Bombyx mori: one gene and its partners. The protein of the gene in region 1 purifies or fractionates together with the protein of each later gene. This does not show direct contact. Links are inferred from orthologs where the notes say so. Each region holds a gene or a part of one and is shown in the gene's direction. Other genes may lie near its edges. The genes, in order: serine/threonine protein phosphatase 6, serine/threonine-protein kinase polo, mitogen-activated protein kinase kinase kinase 7, TIP41-like protein and chaperonin containing t-complex polypeptide 1 beta subunit.

Region 1 (4,271 bases):
TTCCGGCTCGCCTCGCCAGTCAAAATGAAGCAGATCGGTTTCCGGTCCTACCACGTTCCGAAGGACTTCGTCGGCAGCTATTACGTTAGCCGGGAAGCGCGCGCCCAAAATATACCGTCAACTTTATCGGGTTCAGAAAAGGACAAATTTTGTGTTTCACGCTGAAAACTTTATTTCTACAGTTTAGTAGTTTACTTACCTTGATAATAATAAAAAATCAAGTAAAAATACTCACCGTAAGTATTAAAATTCTTCACAATGCGGCACGACACTTATATCACAGCACACGCGAACCACACATTTGCAAATGACAACTTCAACTTTGTTTTTTGTTTTTTTATAATTTTTTCCAGGACTGGAATACGGTCTATTGGTTTTATTTGGTTGGAAATTTATCAAAGAAGCAGGAAAGATATATATAAACACACTAATGAACGAGCAAGACGGATAATATTCATAAAACTAGAGGAAGGTCAAGTCAAGAGGGCTTGTAGACCACTAGTCCACACGGGCAATTTAATGGTCCTAAATCTAGTAGACTTGTGGTCTACGGGGCATAATAAGGTGCAGAATTTTGCAGACTGGTAGTCTACGGGGCAATGAAGCGGCTAATGGGTACACTGACGTACTGTCTAAACGAGTACAGAATCTTCAGAATCAGAATCTATATACCTACAGCTTATGTTTTTCAAAATCCAGTATACATCTGTTTACTTCTTGACTATTTGCGTCATTTGATTATTTTGGTCGAATTAAGCATCGTGATATCGATTTAATAACCCAGTAATATAACCATAGGCCAAAAATTATTTTGTCTTTGCCTTTAAAATAGACAAATTATAAATTGGCGGTTTCATATCACATATTATACATTAGAGAATGTGGAATAGAGACATCTTCAAACACAACATGAAATTATTTTATTTTACAACAAGTCAACTGGGGACTGGGGACCTTATGCAGTCGGTTGGGCGGGAGAGCGCGAGGATTACGAGTTGTGATTTTTTTTTTTTATAATTTAGTGTCTTTATAGTTTTAAACGTGTAGTGATGGTCGTTTACTGTTTAGCATCTGTAAAAGGACACAATTGTGGGAAAATGAAACAAGGCCGCTAGACATAACTTCTAAGGATCTCCAAAAAATTCAATAAATGACCACTATTTTGTAGAGCCTTTAAGTAATTCTGTATAGAATTCTATATATCTAATTAATTCTATATAGAATTAATTAAAGGCTCTACAAATGAGATAATATTATCTCGTTTCATTTCTTAATTGATTAACGGCTCAAATTAATCAAGTTATTTCCTTTTGCTCCATGTCATTTTTCATAAAACATAATTTACAAAAGATTAGACAGTATGGTGTTACATCTTCGCCTTTCCAATTAGAAAAACGGAACAGAGAACTGCCACTTTTGCATGTCTGTCACTGTCAACCAGTCTAAGGCAATTCATTTACCTCTAGTTCGGATTTATGCATTTAATATAAATTAAGGTTAAAAGGCCATTCTTCGTTTATCCGTAAATATATTTTAATTTGTTTTAGAAATGACGGATATAGATAAATGGATAGAAGTTGCAAAGAGATGCAAATACCTCCCGGAAGATGACCTACGGGAACTGTGCAATATAGTTTGTGATTTGTTACTTGAAGAACCTAATGTTCAGCCGGTACAGACACCTGTGACGGTTTGTGGTGATATTCATGGACAGGTAAGCTGCCTGATCCAACTGAAACATTTAAAATTACATCGGAAAACTAACCAGCTTATTCTCTTGTGACTTTACAACTTAAATCATTTAAAAAAGTTTGTTGGATAAAACCATCAGTTAATTTTCTAAATTACTGCAACTAATAAATTGTAAATTCAATTATAAGTATAAGAATAATAATAATGAAATGTTTAGTAATGAAATGTCTAAGAGCTCCTGTAGAAAAACTATATTTCAAAATGTAATTTCAATATTTTCAGTTCTATGATTTAGAGGAGCTTTTTCACATAGGTGGTCAAGTGCCATATACAAAATACATATTTATGGGAGATTATGTGGATCGAGGATATTATAGTTTAGAAACACTAACCTTGCTCATGGCCTTGAAAGCTAGATATCCAGATAGGTGAGTTGTACTTTAAAAAATTTAAAGTATTAAGTCAAAGATATGGATGAAAAAATACATATTGCTGTTACGTAATTATATCAATTATTATTAATATCAATTATCATTATATCAATATTGATTGAGGTTATATGAAATCAATAAATTTCCCCATTAATCAGAATAAGTTTTTTCATAATATACAAATAAAGGTAACTCCAGATAATAAGTATTTATGGATGCAAAATTAATATTGTTTTTTTTTGTCAATATTATTTCGTTGATACACATTGCCTTTCAACATCTTGTTTAATAATATTTATATTCAAATCTTCTTATTCAGGATAATCTTATTAAGGGGTAATCATGAAACATGTCAAATAACTAAGGTTTATGGATTTTATGATGAATGTCTCAATAAATATGGAAATGCAAATGCATGGAAAGACTGTTGCAGAGTTTTTGATTTGCTCACTGTTGCTGCAGTAAGTGGACATTGAATAAATATTATCTAAAATAAAAATATAAATTAGCTTAAAATTTTAGTTATAAAGCTTATTTCTTAAGAATAAATTGGGATTATGGTTCATGTTTGTCATAGTTTTATGGCTGAAAACTTCAGACAATTTTGCAATTTTAACGAAGTCAATAACATTTTCAACAATAAAATGATGGTATCAATTTTTCTAATGATATAAGTACTGAACACATGTGTCCAAGTGACTTCCATGATGGAGGATTACTAATTTGTAATAAAAATTGAACCAACTAGGTATGTACTAAGTATAATTTGTATAATTAATTTAGGTAGGGCATCTTGTTAACCGGCACAGGTAGATATCATTATCGCGCTTATTTCTAAGATGAAGCAGGCATTGTACTGCAAAACAGAGTTAGAACTTTGTCTCGAGGTGGGGGATAAGATTGGCTTTTGTTCATGTTTACAGACTAGTAACCACTTAATAATAGGTGGGCCGTAAACTCCTTTATCTATATAAGCAATAAAAAAATTAAATTAGATTATGTTACAACAAATCATTTAAGTCAGCAACTTTTACAGTTAATTGATGAAACCGTCCTATGTGTGCACGGTGGTCTATCACCAGAAATATCTATGATTGATCAAATAAGATGCATTGATAGAAATCAACAAATTCCACACAAAGGTGCATTCTGTGATTTGTTGTGGTCAGATCCTGCTGATGTGAAAATGTGGTGAGTATGTAGCTAATGCTGATGTAGAGTATATGAAAGATGTAGAATGTAGGCTCTGGGTAAGACATTGTCTGGTTTCACTCATCCTCACTAATTAAAAGTACTTTTACGGTTTAATCTTGTGTTTTGTATAATTATTACAGTCAAAACCGTTTACTGCGACATCGTTTAATACAACATGCCGGTTATAATAACCAAGAACAAAGGTCCCGGCTGAATGCCATATGACCGCCTTATTAAAAATATTGCTTTCTACGACATACCTCATAAAACGACCACATTTAACTAATATTTCGGAGAATTAGATCTGTTAGAACGACCGGCTAAGCTGTATTGTAAACAATTTGAATAGGTATCCACATTTGTCTTCAATGGCTTTTAAAATCACGAAAGAAAACAATAGGATTTAGTTTAGTGTAGGGTCTTTTCTAATTCTTAGAAACAAAACACGTGCATGCGGTAGTCAAAGTCCGCTTCTTCATATTTCTTCAGTTAGTTTGTTACTTATCTATACACAAGACGCACCAAAACTTTGTGGAGTTATTCATGAAACTTTAAAAATGTCACAAAAAAAAAGAAAACAAATTAATATTGAAGAAAAATCGCGTATTATGTAAATATATTTTTCCAATAATTCCCTATCGATTTATTTGTACTTGCGCGATACACATTAAACATCACCGGTTGTTACGACTATCGGTTTTTACGACTGAATATGAGCAGTCCCTTCGATGTCGTTATAACAGATTTTGACTGTATATTATTTCTAATATTTCTAATACTTTATAGTGTTTGTGGTCCAAACTAGGTCACTTTGTGTACTAAGTGTCAGTATGATCATGATAAGATTTAGTGTTTTAATTGTGGAGAACCCAGATCCAAATGATTATAAAAAAAAACATGTAATAATACATTTTTTTTAATGTACAGGTCAGTAAGTCCTCGTGGAGCTGGATG
Region 2 (3,957 bases), about 7.6 Mb from region 1:
ATGATGTGCAGCTTTATGTATTGTGGATATTTCTAACGTCTGCTTAACTTACAACACAAGTCATACTTAGTCTTAGTAATGTAAAAAATGTTTCTAATTTCGAATCTAAATGTATTTCAATCTCAATCATTAAAATTTAAAACAGCACTAAGTTTAAAATTATTACTAGGAATTATTAATAACGCAATATTATAAAACAAACTATGTACTACTTACTATACTATATAATATGTTGAAACTGAATTAGGAAAATAATACTATTTGTATATAGAGTTCCTAATTCTAAGAGTTAAAGTAACTTTTTGTTATTAACTGAGAAATTTGGTCACTAGAGCCAACACTTCACTCGATTGTCAACCAGAGCCAGGCACCAGACTACAATGTGATCATTCGTGTTGTAGTCTGGTGCAGGCCTAGTGTTATAAAATTGACATCCCTGTTGGTATAGCTCTATGACTACTGTTCTTCTGGCCTTCTAATATAACAATTCCCTTGGTCTTCACGTTTGTCGATCTCGAACAATCAAATATATCTTCAGGATTCCGTCGTCGCTTCGCAAACCGGCGGCGTCCATGATTGTACTGCAGTTGCAATCGAACCCTGCGCGTCGTCCGTCCGTGGACAAACTTCTGCAGCATGAATTCTTCTCATCGGGGATTTTGCCAGCCGGGCTGCCCGTCTCTTGCCTCACCACAGCGCCGCGCACTGACCAGCTCGAGGGCATGCTGGTACACCGCCGCCCTCTTAACGAAGTTCATGCTAACGGTGCATATATTGTAATTTATTTAATCGCAGGCTAGACTTCGAGACTTTCTCCCTCATAAATTGATGAGGGAGAGTTCAATAATAATTAAAGAAATTATAGTTTTAAATGGTAAAATATCATCGCAGTTACGATGAACACTAAAGAATATGTCGGATATGCGCGGATCTTTATTAATGACCCGACAGACTTCGTAGTGCCTCAATCGATAAATAAAAAAAAGACCTAAACTTTTGCATAAAATAAACTTAAAACAAACAAAAGGAATCCGTTTGACGGGGTACACATCAAAGAAAAACAAAATTGTTATTTTTATTCAATTCTGAGCATTTTCATATTTAAACCTTCTCTGGACTTCCACAAATAATTCTAGACCAAAATTAGCCAAATCGGTCAAGCCGTTCTCGAGTTTTAGCGAGACTAACGAACAGCAATTCATTTTTATATATATAGATAGATAGATAGAAGATTCATTAAGGAGCACTTATGCACATCAAAATCTTCATAGAATCAAAAAAGCAGCATTTTTCTCCTTTTATAATTAGCTACTTTAAAATTCAACATAAATGAATTGACATTTATAATACGTACTTTCAATTGAATAGAACAAGAGACGATGGCAGTGGACTCGCCCGTCAAACGCGAAGCTACCCCCGCGGGGCCACGAGCTGTGGAACCAACGTCGCACCGCCAGAATTTTATTGCACTGCGAGACCAGCTCGCTGCATTGTTGGTTAACAAGGTAAAATATAGTTTTTTTTTATATTAATACTAGCGACCCGCCTTCGCTTCGCTTCGGAAACATTAAATTTTATTATTAATTAATAGCTGAGTCTCGCGATGTTACCCGCGGTTATTGTCGTACCGCGAGTGAGGCCGCGGGGCGAAGCTAGTCTTAAAAAAGTAGCCTAAGTTACTCCTTATATCATCAGCTACCTATCAGTGAAAGTCTCGTCAAAATGGTCTAGCCGTTCCAGAGATTAGCCGGAACAAACAGACCGACAAAAATTGTTAAAAATGTTATTTTGGTATATGTACCGTATATATATTCATATTATGCGCTTAGTAAAAAGCGGTTATTTCAATATTACAAATAGACACTCCAATTTTATTTATATGTATAGATGAGAAAAAATACCTATGGTCTAAATAACATTTAATAGGCTCTAGTTTTGAAATAGGGCAGGACCGTGCTATGAACTGGTATACGCTGATAACCTTATCATAAGTAGAAATAAATTGATAAACTCTTCATCTTATGGAACTTTTGTAACTTAATTATAAACAACTAGTTTGACTGTATGTTGGCATTTTCTATAACTTTTAGCTGAAATGCCGACCGGAGGCTCTGACAGACGAGCTGAGCGATCCCGCAGCACAGCCGCTGGTGTGGGTTGGCAAGTGGGTCGACTACAGCGACAAATACGGATTCGGATACCAGCTCTGCGACGAGAGCGTCGGTGTCATGTTCAACGATACTACCAAGCTTATCATGCTCGCTAATGGACTGTAAGTTTACGTTTAATATAAATATTAGATGATAATATCAGATATACATATTTTTAATTATATTATATTATAGTAGTATACAACAGGCGCTTGCAACAGTTTCGAACTCACTAAAATTCGAAATCACGTTCGAATCACTAAAGCTTAAAATAGTTTTTTTTTTTATATCTTTATAATGAGAATCAAAGTATAATATGTCATAAAACGAATGCATTGCACACTCAAAATTAGAATCAAATCATAGCTCACACAAACTTTAAACATATTTTGAAGAAAAAAAATTCGCAATACACTTTTTTATACAAGTGATAAGAATCCATAGACATCATAATATGTTAATAGCATATTCCTTGCGGCGTGATTCTCAATTGTTTTGTATTATGACTGTAATGTGCAGATTAGCAAGCAACAAAATCTTCATATTGCTATCTGAAAAAATAAAAGGAGATCTGCATAAACTATCCTTTTTCAGGAATGTGCACTACATCAATCGGCAGGGCCAAGAGCAGTACATGACGATGCGCGATTACCCGCAAGAACTCGACAAAAAAATGAAACTCCTTACATACTTTAGACGATACATGACCGAACATCTCATGAAAGCTGGTAAATTTTTCAACATCCATTGTCATCACTAAAGCATATAAATCAAATAGAATATTCAGAAAACAAAATGTGTGAGCAATAGTTTTCTTATGGCATGAGTAACTAATGTATTCATACTTAACAACAATGTTATCGCTTTTAAATAAATTTACCATTATCCAGGTGCTTCAGTACCAGTGCGAGAGAGTGATGGTCTGTCTCGTTTGCCACATTTACACCAGTGGTTTCGAACAACTTTAGCTGTTATTATGTACCTGACTAATGGAACTTTACAGGTTAGTAGAATTATATTTTAATGCTGTTGGCATATAATTTTTATTGATCTGTTATATTTCTTTCTCATCATGATTGTTTTTTTTTTCTAATATTACAGATAAACTTCCAAGATCACACAAAGATAATACTGTGTCCACTTATGCAAGCTGTCACCTACATAGATATAGAGAAGAATTTCAGAACATTCCGCTTTAATACCATTGAAGAGCATGGCTGTGATAAAAAGCTTTACACAAACCTCACATATGCATTGGAAAAACTAAACAGTGTATTGGCAAACAAACTGTGCTAGTTTTCACTGAACCTAAATGAGTAAATGAATTTGTGGGCTTTGTGGAAAGCTCCAATGAAGAACTGTGTAAACCAAGAGACCCTGCTTATGTAAATAGCAAAAAAGTTTGAAATCACTACAAATTTTCATCATTCTGTTCTTATTGATTGAGATAGTCTGTACTTGATAAAAAAAATCTTTACACTTAAATTTCCTAGGGTCTCCTACTTTTCTAAAATAAAAATTATATTACCTTTTGTATTTTTAGGATAGTCACCAGTATATTATAATTTAATAGAAGGGTCACTAAAATCAATTTTGTACCCTAAAATTTCAAACTTAGGTTAAAAATCCACCGATACTGTCTATTTATTTAGTAAATACTTTTTAATGATTTAGCATCAAATTATTTTGCCGATTCAGTATATGAGCAAAACTTTCGACTTTTTTTTTTATTCTTTAAATATGTGTCTTTGGTTGTTAATACATATTATATTCCATTTGATGCAAAACTTACTGACTTTGCCATTTC
Region 3 (3,974 bases), on another chromosome or scaffold:
CTGCGTTTTATGAGTGCAAGTACGACCAGAGGAAAATCTTTTTCCTAAGGAAGACCCCCGTTTTAGAAGCCAATTTAGCTTTACTTACTCCCTTAAACCGGCGAAATTAAAATTCGATAATGACTCAATATACTAACTGCATTAATTTTAAATATTGAAATTGAGGTGTCTTGAACCTTAATTTCATCTTTAAGGTGTGAGACCTCCACGGTCTCAAATATTAACTGCTTCGTACTTTAACATCATACCTACATATCAGAGAAACAACTCTAGGTTTTTAGTATTTCTAACCAAGAGATGAATGGATCTAGGAGCTCCCAGATATGGGGAGCGGTACATATGGCGCAGAACCGGACCGAGTGGAGAAGATTGACATACAGTCACGATCCTCAGCATTGAGGGAACGACCAAAAAGAAGGAGCTCCCAGATACAACTGTCTTCGCCTTCAATGTGACTCGCAGACGGTAAAAACTGTAAATAAACTGTAAGCTATAGCCAATCTGGAACAACACAGGCTCGAAATGTAGAAGATTTTATATAATGACTAGCTGACCCGGCAAACATTGTTTTGCCATATATAAGATTTCTAGGGAATTTCTAGGGTAGAAAAAAAAACTAACTTATTGTAAGTGTGTAAGGATGTGGTAAATGAGTGAAAGAGGTATGTAGTGCTGTGAACGATGAGGGAATATATAATAAAATAACAAAACCTCATTCAACCACATAATACCTCATTATAACAAAAAAAAAAGTCCAAATAAAAAATAAAATGTTAGGGGTGGACAACACTAATCACTTAGGGGTATGAAAAATAGATAGTAGCCGATTCTCAGGCTTACTGAATATGCATAAAAAATTTCATGAGAATCGGTCAAGCGGTTTCGGAGGAGTATGGGAACGAACATTGTGACACGAGAATTTTATATATTAGATGAGGATAAAAACAACCATTAAACAGGAAAATATATTTTAAAAAATGGTCATAACTAATATACCTACTAATCCGGGAGAAATAAACATCTCATTCTCAGAAAAAAACTTAAATAATTAATTAATTTGGCATATTATTCTTATTAATTAAATGCTATTTCTGTACTCAAAGTGTAAAAACCACAGTTTTTTTGTAAATCCTACCGATAGATCAATGTCAACAATGAGCTCGGCACATCTCTATCGAAATATGACATTTGTTCTACAGTTTCAAAGATGGCGGCCTTGTCGCAGTTGCTTTTTTCTGCCAAACAATACTGAAGAAATTGAGTTAACCAACTATTTTTACCAATTTATAAAGAAAACTTATTAGTTTGTAACACATAAGGCTTGTATAATCTTTCTAGTCATATTGATAATGTGATAATAAGTGTACCAATGGCTTCCAATAGTTCCAATGTGCAAGACTCGCCAGTTCATCAGCAGACGTTTGTGGAGGAGATTGATTACAGTGAAATACAGGAGCTTTCGGTAAATATTTGGACACAGATACGTTTTGACAAAATCAAAGTTTTTAATAGCATGTTCTGAGATTCTTAAAAATTCGACAGGTCGTAGGGAAAGGGGCCTTCGGTGTTGTCTGGAAGGGTGTATGGCGGAACAGATTTGTAGCGGTAAAGCACATAAATTCAGAGGCGGAGAAACGTGAATTTGCGATCGAGGTACGCCAGTTATCTCGCGTATGTCACCCAAACATTGTGCGATTGTACGGAGCGTGCACGCGGGGTGCTCACGTATGCCTCGTCATGGAGTATGCAGAAGGTGGCTCTCTCTATAATGTACTACACAACCGACCCAAACCCAAATACACAGCAGCACATGCAATGAGCTGGGCCCGCCAGTGCGCTGAGGTAATAATTTACTATTGATCATCAAAATACAAAAGCCAGTGTATTATATTAAGTATTATCTTAAATACAAAATTATTTTTAATTGTGCAATGGATTAAAAATACCATTGTTTTAGGGTGTAGCATACCTTCACTCCATGAAACCAAAACCATTAATACACAGGGATTTAAAACCACCCAATCTATTATTAGTGGGTGGAGGGCAACGCCTGAAGATTTGTGATTTTGGCACAGCAGCTGATAAGGCAACATACATGACGAATAATAAAGGCAGTGCTGCTTGGATGGCTCCTGAGGTTTGTATTCCAAAAACAGTGTAATGCAATAATAGAACTTTACTACTAAACTATATGTATAAACTAAACTTGACTATAAATAATTAAGATCATTATAATGACGATGAAAATGAAATAACTATTATTTTGTGTTTGTTACTTTTTCTGCTTCATTCAGTTTTATAATATTATTACCAGCATCTAATAGTATTTTAAAATTATAAGGACAAACATTATCTTTGAAAAAGAGTACGGAAAATAAAATCAATATTTACTTTTATAACTTTTTTATAAAAATAAAAGCCACAATGAAACTTAATTGCATGGATTATAAAAGGAAAAACTTTAAAGTACTAATAGTTATTGAAACCAAACCAAAATAACTTGAATTTCATTGTGTGTAATAAGATAAGGTGAAATTACAAATTACTCAGCAAATTGTTTAGCGTATAGAAATATTTTAAGCTTAGCTGAATTTAAAATTTAAATCATTATGCTTTTAAATATTATTTAACCACAATGCCTTATATTAGATAGAAGAAATAAATGAATAGGAAGATTATAATTCAAAGCTTTTAAAACATTACTGTTTAATGTTTTTCAGGTATTTGAAGGATCAACATACACAGAAAAATGTGATGTGTTCTCATGGGGGATAATACTGTGGGAGGTATTATCTAGGAGGAAACCATTTGAAGAAGGTGGTTCTGCATATAGAATAATGTGGGCGGTGCATACAGGTTTGATCTGTTATTTAAATTGTTATTTAGTGAAGATACAATAGTTGATCGTTGATTAGATATTATGGTAAAACTTACTAATTTTCATCCAATATGCTTATTATGACAAAAAAATTCGTGCTATTAAATTTTAAGAAATCTATTATGGTTGCGAACAAGTTTCGATTGACTGTGTGTTAAAAATTTCACACTTGCTTGATTATAAAGTGGATCAAACTGAGAATCACATCTCGAAGCGTACTGTCATAATTGGGTCACCTATCATAATTGGTTACTCTTGCTTATGGAAATGAAGAGTTCAGTGCTACTATCCTAACCTGCTACTAAGACCCTGTATTTATGTGTGTGTGTGAAAACAGGATAAACTTTAAGAAAAAAGATCTTAATGGAAAATCTCTACATCACAATAGAAATTGTGGTTAATAACCTAAGTGTAGAAAATAGGGATATGACCAAAAAATTTTTTCAAGACAAAAAAATTACTATTGTTGACTTGTGTGTATTTATCACAATCATTTTAATATTTAGGGTAATTGAATTAATAATATGCTGATGCCTGAATTTCAGTTACATAACTGTGAATTTTCAGGTCAAAGACCAAATCTAATAGAGGGATGCCCGGAGCCAATAGAGCAGCTGATGACACAATGTTGGCACAAAATACCAGCACAAAGACCAAGCATGGCCAAGGTATGTTTCATTTTAACTATTAATTGCTCTCAAGGTGCAACCTTTTGAACTGAGCAGTTTGGCTGTCTTTTAAATTTTACTTCATCAAATATTAAACAGTAAAGAGTCAGAATTCAGCTTTCACATGAAGCTATTTTATAAGTGAGACTATTATTTATAAAATCATGTATTACAGTTACGTTTGGATTGCATTTTACAAACATCTTACAAACAGAATTACCAAAACGAAAATGTAACTGAACTTTGTGCATGTGTCACAAAAAAAATCATGTTATGTGGCTACCAAAACCTATAGACATTACAATGTGAATGCTGCCATGCAGCTTGTGGTGTATATGTCTCAATTGAATGGCAGTTACACAAATTATAATTCTCGTGGGCTTACTTTTAAATGTCTATTTTTTTTTATATTCATCTACTAACATTTT
Region 4 (4,178 bases), on another chromosome or scaffold:
ATTGTATTTTTATAGCGTTGATGGTTGGACGAGCTCATGGCGCACCTGATATTAAGTGGTAACCGAAGCCCATAGACATTTACATCGTAAATGCCGCCACTCACTTCGAGACATGAATTCTAAGGTCTCCGTTTTTACAGTGCAACGGCTGCCCCACACTTCAAATCGAAATGCATTACTGCTTCACGGCAGAAAAAGGTGAGATGGTGGTGCTTACCTGTGCGGTCTCACTAGATGTCCTACCACTAGTAAATTCTCACTAAAAATGTGTGGAGGTATACGAGAAAGGGAAGATCTTCCACCAAGCGGGTGATATTGCTCGGTAGACCGACGGTCCCAAAATTTATATTTCGGAATTTGTATATAAGCAAGATAATCTTGAAAATATGGTAAGCGAGATTGAGGCATCTGTCGAATATTTTGTGTTCTGTGATGGCAACCACCACAAATGTGATCGAGAATTTAAGATTTGATTTGTCTGAGCTGATTTTTAAGTAGAAAAAATGGGTTGCCTGTAAAGTTGGCTTGCGGAAGATAGTTTTACGTGATTAGTACGTCATAAGAAACACTGATGAAAAATTGTATACTTTAATTAATTGAATTGAATTAATATCACTGAGTTATAATTTTTTATAAGGAATTAATTGAAAATTATTATTTTTTTCAATAAATTAACACTTGTGTCGATCGTACCTTTCTAACGGTAGTTTCGTTCTCTCGCTTGCACGTTCAGGCTCAGGCGGAACGTGTTACTTTTTCGTGTGTGCAGCCCGTTTTTATTGATTTATAAGACGTTATCACGTCAAAATAACATACAAGTTGATCATTAACATGACACAATAATATTTCAGGAACGCCGTGACATCTCTTTCATCAATGTAGGTTCAACGAGAGCATTTTATGGTAGGTAGCTGATTAGGTAGATGATGTTTCTACGACAGGCAGTGTCCGCGGGCGTCAGACCACTTTCCATCAAGTGGATTGTCTAATTAATCGCTTGTTAATACAAAAAGACACTAACACTAACTACATAGCCTTTTACATAGAAAACCTATTTTTTCTGTAAAGATAAATTCATGAAATTAACTGAAATTGAACTGAATAGGAGGAAATCAAGTTTTTTATTTATTAATTAATATTTTTAGCATGTGCTTCACTTATTGTAATTTATATTATGGTTGATTCCAATCGAAACAATAGCTTAGTGAAACTCGATTTTATAGTTTCTGAAAACGATTCACTGGGTCAACTGCTTGTTTACTATCGATTTTTTTTAAATTAGTTCTTCGAAAAGTAGATTTCAGACCACAGTCAAAAGAACTCTTAAATATTAAATGTGTATCTATGCTAAAAACTAGGTATAACACAATCAAAGACTTGACCTAAAGGTCTTAGTTACCAGGTCATAAAATCCCTTAAAAAATTATCACACTCATAATGACGTCCTACCGACTTAACTACTTATTGGTATAGAAATAAATACATAAATAAACACTAAATAGGGGAAACTGTGACCGAAAAAGTGTTTGGTGTATATTTTGATGTTTACTTTAATTTAATATAAAATGATTTAAATGCAATAACAAAGATTAAAGTGAAGCATCAAGTAATAATTACTAATAATTAACCAAAACTCTTGTTGTTTATCAGCTGAAAATATATCTAACGTGCCAAAATGTTTCGACCAGAAGTAAAGATCCTCAATTTACATAATGTATGATTATTGAAATAATTAAATTTTCTGACAGCCTCTTAACTTACAGGAAACAAATGTTGATGCCGGTCGTCATACGTCTAATTCGCAGTCCATTGAATTTGGTCCTTGGCATATTTCGTATGATGTCAGCCGTATACTACCCAGTATGTGTGCCACTAAGGTGGTTTGCGAGAGAGATGACGACCAATTTTGTCAGTTCTGCACGTAAGTAATAAGTAATCGTTAAATTGATTGAACTGAAATATAGAAACCGAATTGCAATGTTTGTATGAGTTTTCGTTGTTTCAATTATGGTTTTCGGTTTTACATTTGCTTATTAACGTATGTCCACTAATTATGAGTACAAAATGACAAACCTAGTTTAAAGGAGTAAACGGAGTGTGTAGGTGTCAACATAAATACTCACTGCCCTTGACATATAAGGTCAGTCTCATTTGCATTGTAAAAACAGTTATTCTATTGTACATGAGAATCAGACTAACCCATAACTGGCCCATAACAAAAAATTGCAATCATTGTACTGGCATCTATAGAAAAATTATCAATATTTCCCTCACCACTGTTAAGAGAATGTGCGATGTCCAATCTGATCTCTATTCATGTTACTGTTACCTGATGTTATAGTCATATGTATCAGATAGTTCGGATGTTCTCAAACACCATTCAATTTGAACCGAGTTGTACTTATTGTAATAGGTGGCTCACTAGCTGGGAATGCTCACATTACTTAAAAGTAAAATTAATATGTTCATAGTTGATTTATCAATTCCAGTTACTCTAAAGAGCTGAAGATTCCACATTTCCCTGATATGGTATTTCCAAAAAACAGATTAACATTAGCACATAAAAGCGGTGCTAGTATAAACTTTAATCCTCTGGATGCTCTTAAAAGGGTGGCTAGCACAGTGGAGCCAGTTGAAGTGTCCTGTTCTGAAGTGTGGATGCAAGCACGGTAATGAAACCTATTTAATCTGTGGGCTTAACTTTATTAATTGATGTCATATTTACTAAAATTGGATTTAGTGAAAAATACAATCTAATATAAGTTCTAAAAATTATTTGTTAATAAACTCAAGATATTATTATTCAAAGATTTATGGGTATATTGAGTAGATGTAAGAAGGGATACCTTTTATTGCTATTGTAAGATATAGCTAAAAATAAAAAAAGGTAAAAACAACGGACTTATACAAAAGTGACACCTACATTACCCATAGACATTTATTAGAACCTTACCTATTTTTATTTAAACAAAATATTCTTACAGTTGTTACAACATTATTTTTATTGTTGATAAGATACTGTTTTGGCAAATCATTGTAGTGCCCTCTTGCATCCAATTGGTTTAATAAGAGACTGAGAAACAAGCGTTTCAATGTTTGAAGTCATCGTGGCCTAAAGGATAAGACATCCGATGCATTCATATCTAGTGATGCACCAGTGTTCCTATCCCGCTGGAACGTACCAATTTATCTAATGAAATACGTACTTAACAAATGCTCTCAATTAACTATCGTGGTGAAGGAATAACATCGTGTAATAAAAAAAAAACCCGCCAAATTATAATTTGTGTAATTACTGGTGGTAGTACCTCTTGTAAGTCCGCACGGGTAAGTACCACCACTCTGCCTATTTCTGTCGTAAAGCAGTAATGCGTTTTGGTTTGAAGGGTGGGGCAGCCGTTGTAACTATACTGAGACCTTAGATTTTATATTTCAAGGTGGGTGGTGGCATTTACATTGTAGATGTCTATATGGGGTCCGGTAACCATTTAACAACCAGGTGGATTGTGAGCTCGTCCAGCCATCTAAGCAATAAAAAAAGTATTATTACAAATGAGTCGACTATTATCAAAGCCGGCAATGTGACTTTTGGACAATTATTGGTAAATCAGAAAAACGAATGATTGACTTTGTATTCCATTGGCAGTCACAAAACTCTTCTGAACGACATCTTAGATAAATAACAGGTTAAGTATTAACCTTTATTTAATGCAGGTTTTGAACCGTATTCTTTGAAGGAGACGATTATATTCAAATCAATCTGTATTGACATAACAATAACATTTTTTTGTCAAAATGCACAGATTGCCATCTTTGATAATAGACGACTCAAATAACAGTATTAACACAATGGTTGAAGTACATATGATGAATATTTTTATTTTAGACCATATGCAGAAAAGTTGAAGAAATCATTTGATTGGACTTTTTGTACAGATTACAAAGGATCTATCAGTGATAATATTACAGTTTGGGAAACTGAAGAGTCTATTGATTTTGAACTGTTAAAACAGAAAAACCAGATACTCTTCTACCATGATTTGACTTTATTTGAAGATGAGCTGCATGATCATGGTGTATCAAAGCTCTCAGTGAAAATTGTAAGTACACCATTAATATTTAGAAAATATTTAACATAAAGGATATATCGGGGCAAATATGATGATTCACCTACTTAT
Region 5 (4,019 bases), on another chromosome or scaffold:
CAATAGCACCTATAATTAACATCATCTTCAAATTCTGCCACCAATACTTGCGCTTAAGTTTTCCAGCTTGCTGTTCAAACTGTGCAGCCCCATGTTGCAGCGCATCTGCGCGATTATCTAGTTCCGACAATTTTTGGTCTCTTTCCAAAACTTTCTCGACATTGACACGCATAATGCCAACAACTTCATCTACTTTGGCTTGTGTTTGTGCCAAGCGTTTGTCGCTTACTCTTGGTGCGGAACTTCCTCCTTGTTCTTCCATTTTTACTGTATATTATGAACTGTTTTTATTAAATTTCAATGTGAATGTAACTAGATTAATGCAGAATATTATTATTCGGTCACTGGTGACGGGCGTAGAATGTAAATATGGCGTCACCACAGACTAAATAGAAATATTAGGATTAGGGATGGCGGATGGCGCTCTAAGATTGATTGCTTAACCAAAATGAAACGATTTTTAATCGATAAATAGATTTCAAATAGTAAAATTTCGAGATTTTTGTATTTCATTTATAACGTTTCAAAGCTGGTAACTTGATGAAATTTAACGATTTGATGCAGTGGTATTCAACTTTATTTTAAGGCAGTGTATAAGGTATATACGGATGAACTTTAGTACGATTTTGTAACAAAAACCACAGCCATTTATTCAATTTTATTCGCCATCGTTGAAATATGTTTATAACCATCGCTCATGATCATCATCAACAGCACAACCAGGTCAAATAGTATTCAAAAAATGTAATGGAGGAGAGTTTATTCCAAAACTAAATTGTATGTAGCAAGAAATCTTTTTGAAAACGCAGTGGTTTTAGGTTCGGCTATGGCGACAGAAATGTGACGATAAAAAAAAAGAGATCATAAACAACGTTCAGCGATTTTATTGACTTCAATTCTCCCTGTCAAAGCTGCCCTAATTAATAAATTACTATGAACACACGTTTTAATCTGAGGAGACAATTCACTAATAAAATAAATGAATTCGCATAACTTCGGTCAATCAATTTGCATTTCCACCAAAGATTCATTCTTCGATTTCATTTGTAAAATCACTTCCATTTCAATATTCATACGAGGCTTTGATTTTTGTAATACAAGATTTCATTACATGAGTTTCGTTCCCTTTGCTTTTCCAATAGACAAGTTTAGCAAAAAACAGAGAGCAAATACATAGAGCATAGATAATACATGACATAGAGTATACATTATTAGTGATCAAAGTGGTCGTTCGGTCGTTCCCTTTTCTCTTTGTGCATTGTAGCCGATAAAAGCGTAAAGAAAAATAATTAATTAGGTCCTTCATCCAAAATGGTTAGTAAAATCTTTAATTTAATCTAACGTATCTTCATTGTTACTGATACTTATAAGTAAAAACGACGTATTCAGTGAAAACTAAGTGAAAATAGAACCCGATGCCGTATAACCTCACGCACGTGTACATGTAATTCTAAATTAAAATTAATTTAATACAGGTATCATTAAATCCAATTCGTATCCTTAAAAATGAAGCAGAAGAGGAGAAAGCTGAAGTTGCCCGGATGTCCAGTTTCATCGGTGCTATTGCCATAGGAGATTTGGTAAAGAGTACTTTAGGTCCCAAAGGAATGGATAAGATCTTAGTTTCCTGCGGGAGGAACTCTGGTCAGGTAAAATTAACTGTCTTTTTATTAAACATTAATAATGTATGCTGTGTTTTGAAATGTTTTATGCATAAAGAATTTTCGCTTCAGGTCGAAGTAACAAATGATGGTGCTACGATATTGAAATCTATCGGTGTGGATAATCCTGCTGCTAAAATCCTAGTAGATATGTCTAAGGTACAAGATGAAGAAGTCGGAGATGGCACCACATCTGTTACAGTTTTGGGTTAGTTTAAACTTTAGTGACAATAATGTTGTCTTTAATTTAATTTTTTTTTATTGCCCTTGTAAGCAGACGAGCATACGGCCCACCTGATGGTAAGTGGTTACCGTCGCCCATGGACTTCAGCAATGCCAGGGGCAGAGCTAAGCCACTGCCCACTGTTGAGTACTCTCCACAAGCCTCGTTTGAAAAAGAACAAGCAAGCAAGGCGCTAGGGAAACACCTCGGCCAACACATTGACTCTGTACATTGTTATAAATTTAAAAAAACTTACCAAATAGTTGAAATATGTTTGTAAATATACTATTTTTAACATATAATCAGATTTTTTTTTGTAATTCATGTAAACGCATCTCATAATGATAAAAGTTCTATTTAAATTCAGCTGCTGAATTACTTCGAGAGGCTGAAAAATTAATTGAACAAAAACTGCACCCTCAAACAATCATTGCTGGTTGGAGAATTGCTTCTGATGCAGCCAAACAAGCTCTTGCAGAAGCTAGCTTTGATCATCAGAAGAACTTAAATGAGGCTTCATTAAGAGTGGATTTAGAAAACATCGCACGGACCACACTGAGCTCAAAGATCCTTTCAAATCACAAAGAGTGAGTAGTGAAAACCAGTATACTGTGAAATTACATTGTTTTCAATACCAATTGAAAAATATCTTTATTTATTAGCTATATCTGTGACATACTAGTATATTAATTCCAATATTATTAGATATACATATATTTTAATTCATTAGGTCTTTTATTTTCCAAGACTTATTGCTGTATTGCTAATGTTACTATGTGTATTTTTTTTTTGTAGGGCAACTCAATTTTATCTACCAGTGTTTGCAATCAGGGTCTTCATTAGAATGTCTAAGTTCTGATTTTTTTAGAGTTGTGATCACCAAAGATTTAGAGGACAACTTTATATCAATGAGTTGAGCGTAAAAAGAGTATAAGTCATGAGAATCTGCTTTAAAAATAATGTAAATTTACCAGTAATGGCTGAATAATTATAACTTTTGGCTAAGAATCATAATTTCTTTTGTCATTTAGCTGTAGCTTAATAGCAGATATAAAAAAAACTGTAGTTTGTCTATGTGTCAGCTTATCTAGAAAATATTGGCATCAGATTATCTAAGCCCAAAAAGCAGAGGTTAATTAAAGTCATTTCTCATATTTTTTAACACAGAAACTGTACAAATGGGGTGAAATGTTTTATGAGATTTTTATTTATTTATTACACTTCATGTTAAATTTACATTGGCGGAATTAATGCCTAAGGCATTCTCTACCAGTCAACCAAAGGTAGTGCCGAGATTTATATTTTTTATCCAAATTACTAAAGCTTGAGGTATTTTTTTAATTAGCCTCAATAGTGCACTTAGTCTCAAGTGCTATCAGAGCCAATAGGCATTACGATATACATACAACATAGTTGCATAAATATTCAGGCCAAAGACAGTATAAACTGTATAATATTCTTTCAGGCATTTCACAAAATTAGCAGTTGATGCAGTTTTGCGTTTGAAAGGATCTGGTAATTTAAAAGCTATCCAAATTATCAAAATATCTGGAGGTCTTCTTGAAGAGTCATTCTTGGATGAAGGGTTCTTGCTAAACAAAAAAGTAAGTTTTAAAAAAACCTTTGAATGATTGAGTTTTAGTGCTCTTTAGTTTTTCTATTTGATCATTACATTAATAAAGAAAAACAGTACCTATAGATACAAAAATTTTAATGGGCATATTATTTCTTATAGGTTGGTGTACATCAACCAAAGAAAGTAGAAAATGCTAACATCCTTATTGCAAACACACCAATGGACACTGACAAGATTAAAGTGTTTGGTTCCACAATTAAAGTGGATTCAATGGCCAAGATTGCTGAATTGGAAGTAGCTGAGAAAGAGAAAATGAAGGACAAAGTGAACAAGATTTTAGCACACAAATGTAATGTCTTCATTAACAGGTGAGATTGTTTTGCTATAAAGATTTGTATAATTGCTCTATTTTTGGATACTCAGAAAATATTATTATAGATTACTTATTATTATACATTACTTATTCTTATACAAAACTGATTGCTGTTGCAAATATTGGTTCTTAATTATTATTTTTCAGTCAGTGAGTCATAAGTTGTTTTTATTTTGTATTTGCTTA

Evidence for each region.
Region 2: the proteins of serine/threonine protein phosphatase 6 (region 1) and serine/threonine-protein kinase polo purify together in Homo sapiens (affinity purification with mass spectrometry; 4 studies listed by BioGRID and IntAct, with this or other methods). This does not show direct contact. The link is inferred for Bombyx mori from reciprocal best matches to the Homo sapiens genes PPP6C and PLK1.
Region 3: the proteins of serine/threonine protein phosphatase 6 (region 1) and mitogen-activated protein kinase kinase kinase 7 purify together in Homo sapiens (affinity purification with western blotting; 3 studies listed by BioGRID and IntAct, with this or other methods). This does not show direct contact. The link is inferred for Bombyx mori from reciprocal best matches to the Homo sapiens genes PPP6C and MAP3K7.
Region 4: the proteins of serine/threonine protein phosphatase 6 (region 1) and TIP41-like protein purify together in Homo sapiens (co-immunoprecipitation; 4 studies listed by BioGRID and IntAct, with this or other methods). This does not show direct contact. The link is inferred for Bombyx mori from reciprocal best matches to the Homo sapiens genes PPP6C and TIPRL.
Region 5: the proteins of serine/threonine protein phosphatase 6 (region 1) and chaperonin containing t-complex polypeptide 1 beta subunit purify together in Homo sapiens (affinity purification with mass spectrometry; 4 studies listed by BioGRID and IntAct, with this or other methods). This does not show direct contact. The link is inferred for Bombyx mori from reciprocal best matches to the Homo sapiens genes PPP6C and CCT2.

The regions. Positions count from the first base shown.
Region 1 is NC_085121.1:5,013,281-5,017,551, forward strand, and holds the start of serine/threonine protein phosphatase 6, read left to right. Parts: upstream 1-1,466; 5' UTR 1,467-1,549; coding exon 1,550-1,714; intron 1,715-1,974; coding exon 1,975-2,120; intron 2,121-2,442; coding exon 2,443-2,584; intron 2,585-3,159; coding exon 3,160-3,314; intron 3,315-4,244; coding exon 4,245-4,271.
Region 2 is NC_085121.1:12,625,168-12,629,124, forward strand, and holds the end of serine/threonine-protein kinase polo, read left to right. Parts: intron 1-538; coding exon 539-765; intron 766-1,368; coding exon 1,369-1,505; intron 1,506-2,090; coding exon 2,091-2,272; intron 2,273-2,744; coding exon 2,745-2,878; intron 2,879-3,040; coding exon 3,041-3,153; intron 3,154-3,251; coding exon 3,252-3,446; downstream 3,447-3,957. UniProt on the Homo sapiens protein: Serine/threonine-protein kinase that performs several important functions throughout M phase of the cell cycle, including the regulation of centrosome maturation and spindle assembly, the removal of cohesins from chromosome arms, the inactivation of anaphase-promoting complex/cyclosome (APC/C) inhibitors, and the regulation of mitotic exit and cytokinesis.
Region 3 is NC_085109.1:9,467,079-9,471,052, reverse strand, and holds the start of mitogen-activated protein kinase kinase kinase 7, read left to right. Parts: upstream 1-1,165; 5' UTR 1,166-1,369; coding exon 1,370-1,462; intron 1,463-1,542; coding exon 1,543-1,842; intron 1,843-1,957; coding exon 1,958-2,137; intron 2,138-2,720; coding exon 2,721-2,856; intron 2,857-3,445; coding exon 3,446-3,546; intron 3,547-3,974. UniProt on the Homo sapiens protein: Serine/threonine kinase which acts as an essential component of the MAP kinase signal transduction pathway. Plays an important role in the cascades of cellular responses evoked by changes in the environment.
Region 4 is NC_085119.1:10,607,691-10,611,868, forward strand, and holds the start of TIP41-like protein, read left to right. Parts: upstream 1-1,373; 5' UTR 1,374-1,675; coding exon 1,676-1,690; intron 1,691-1,748; coding exon 1,749-1,921; intron 1,922-2,489; coding exon 2,490-2,669; intron 2,670-3,886; coding exon 3,887-4,100; intron 4,101-4,178. UniProt on the Homo sapiens protein: May be a allosteric regulator of serine/threonine-protein phosphatase 2A (PP2A). Isoform 1 inhibits catalytic activity of the PP2A(D) core complex in vitro. The PP2A(C):TIPRL complex does not show phosphatase activity.
Region 5 is NC_085119.1:8,629,996-8,634,014, reverse strand, and holds the start of chaperonin containing t-complex polypeptide 1 beta subunit, read left to right. Parts: upstream 1-1,217; 5' UTR 1,218-1,311; coding exon 1,312-1,314; intron 1,315-1,475; coding exon 1,476-1,649; intron 1,650-1,733; coding exon 1,734-1,869; intron 1,870-2,251; coding exon 2,252-2,471; intron 2,472-3,349; coding exon 3,350-3,488; intron 3,489-3,619; coding exon 3,620-3,828; intron 3,829-4,019. Other genes in the region: synaptobrevin-1, read right to left, coding at 1-262. UniProt on the Homo sapiens protein: Component of the chaperonin-containing T-complex (TRiC), a molecular chaperone complex that assists the folding of actin, tubulin and other proteins upon ATP hydrolysis.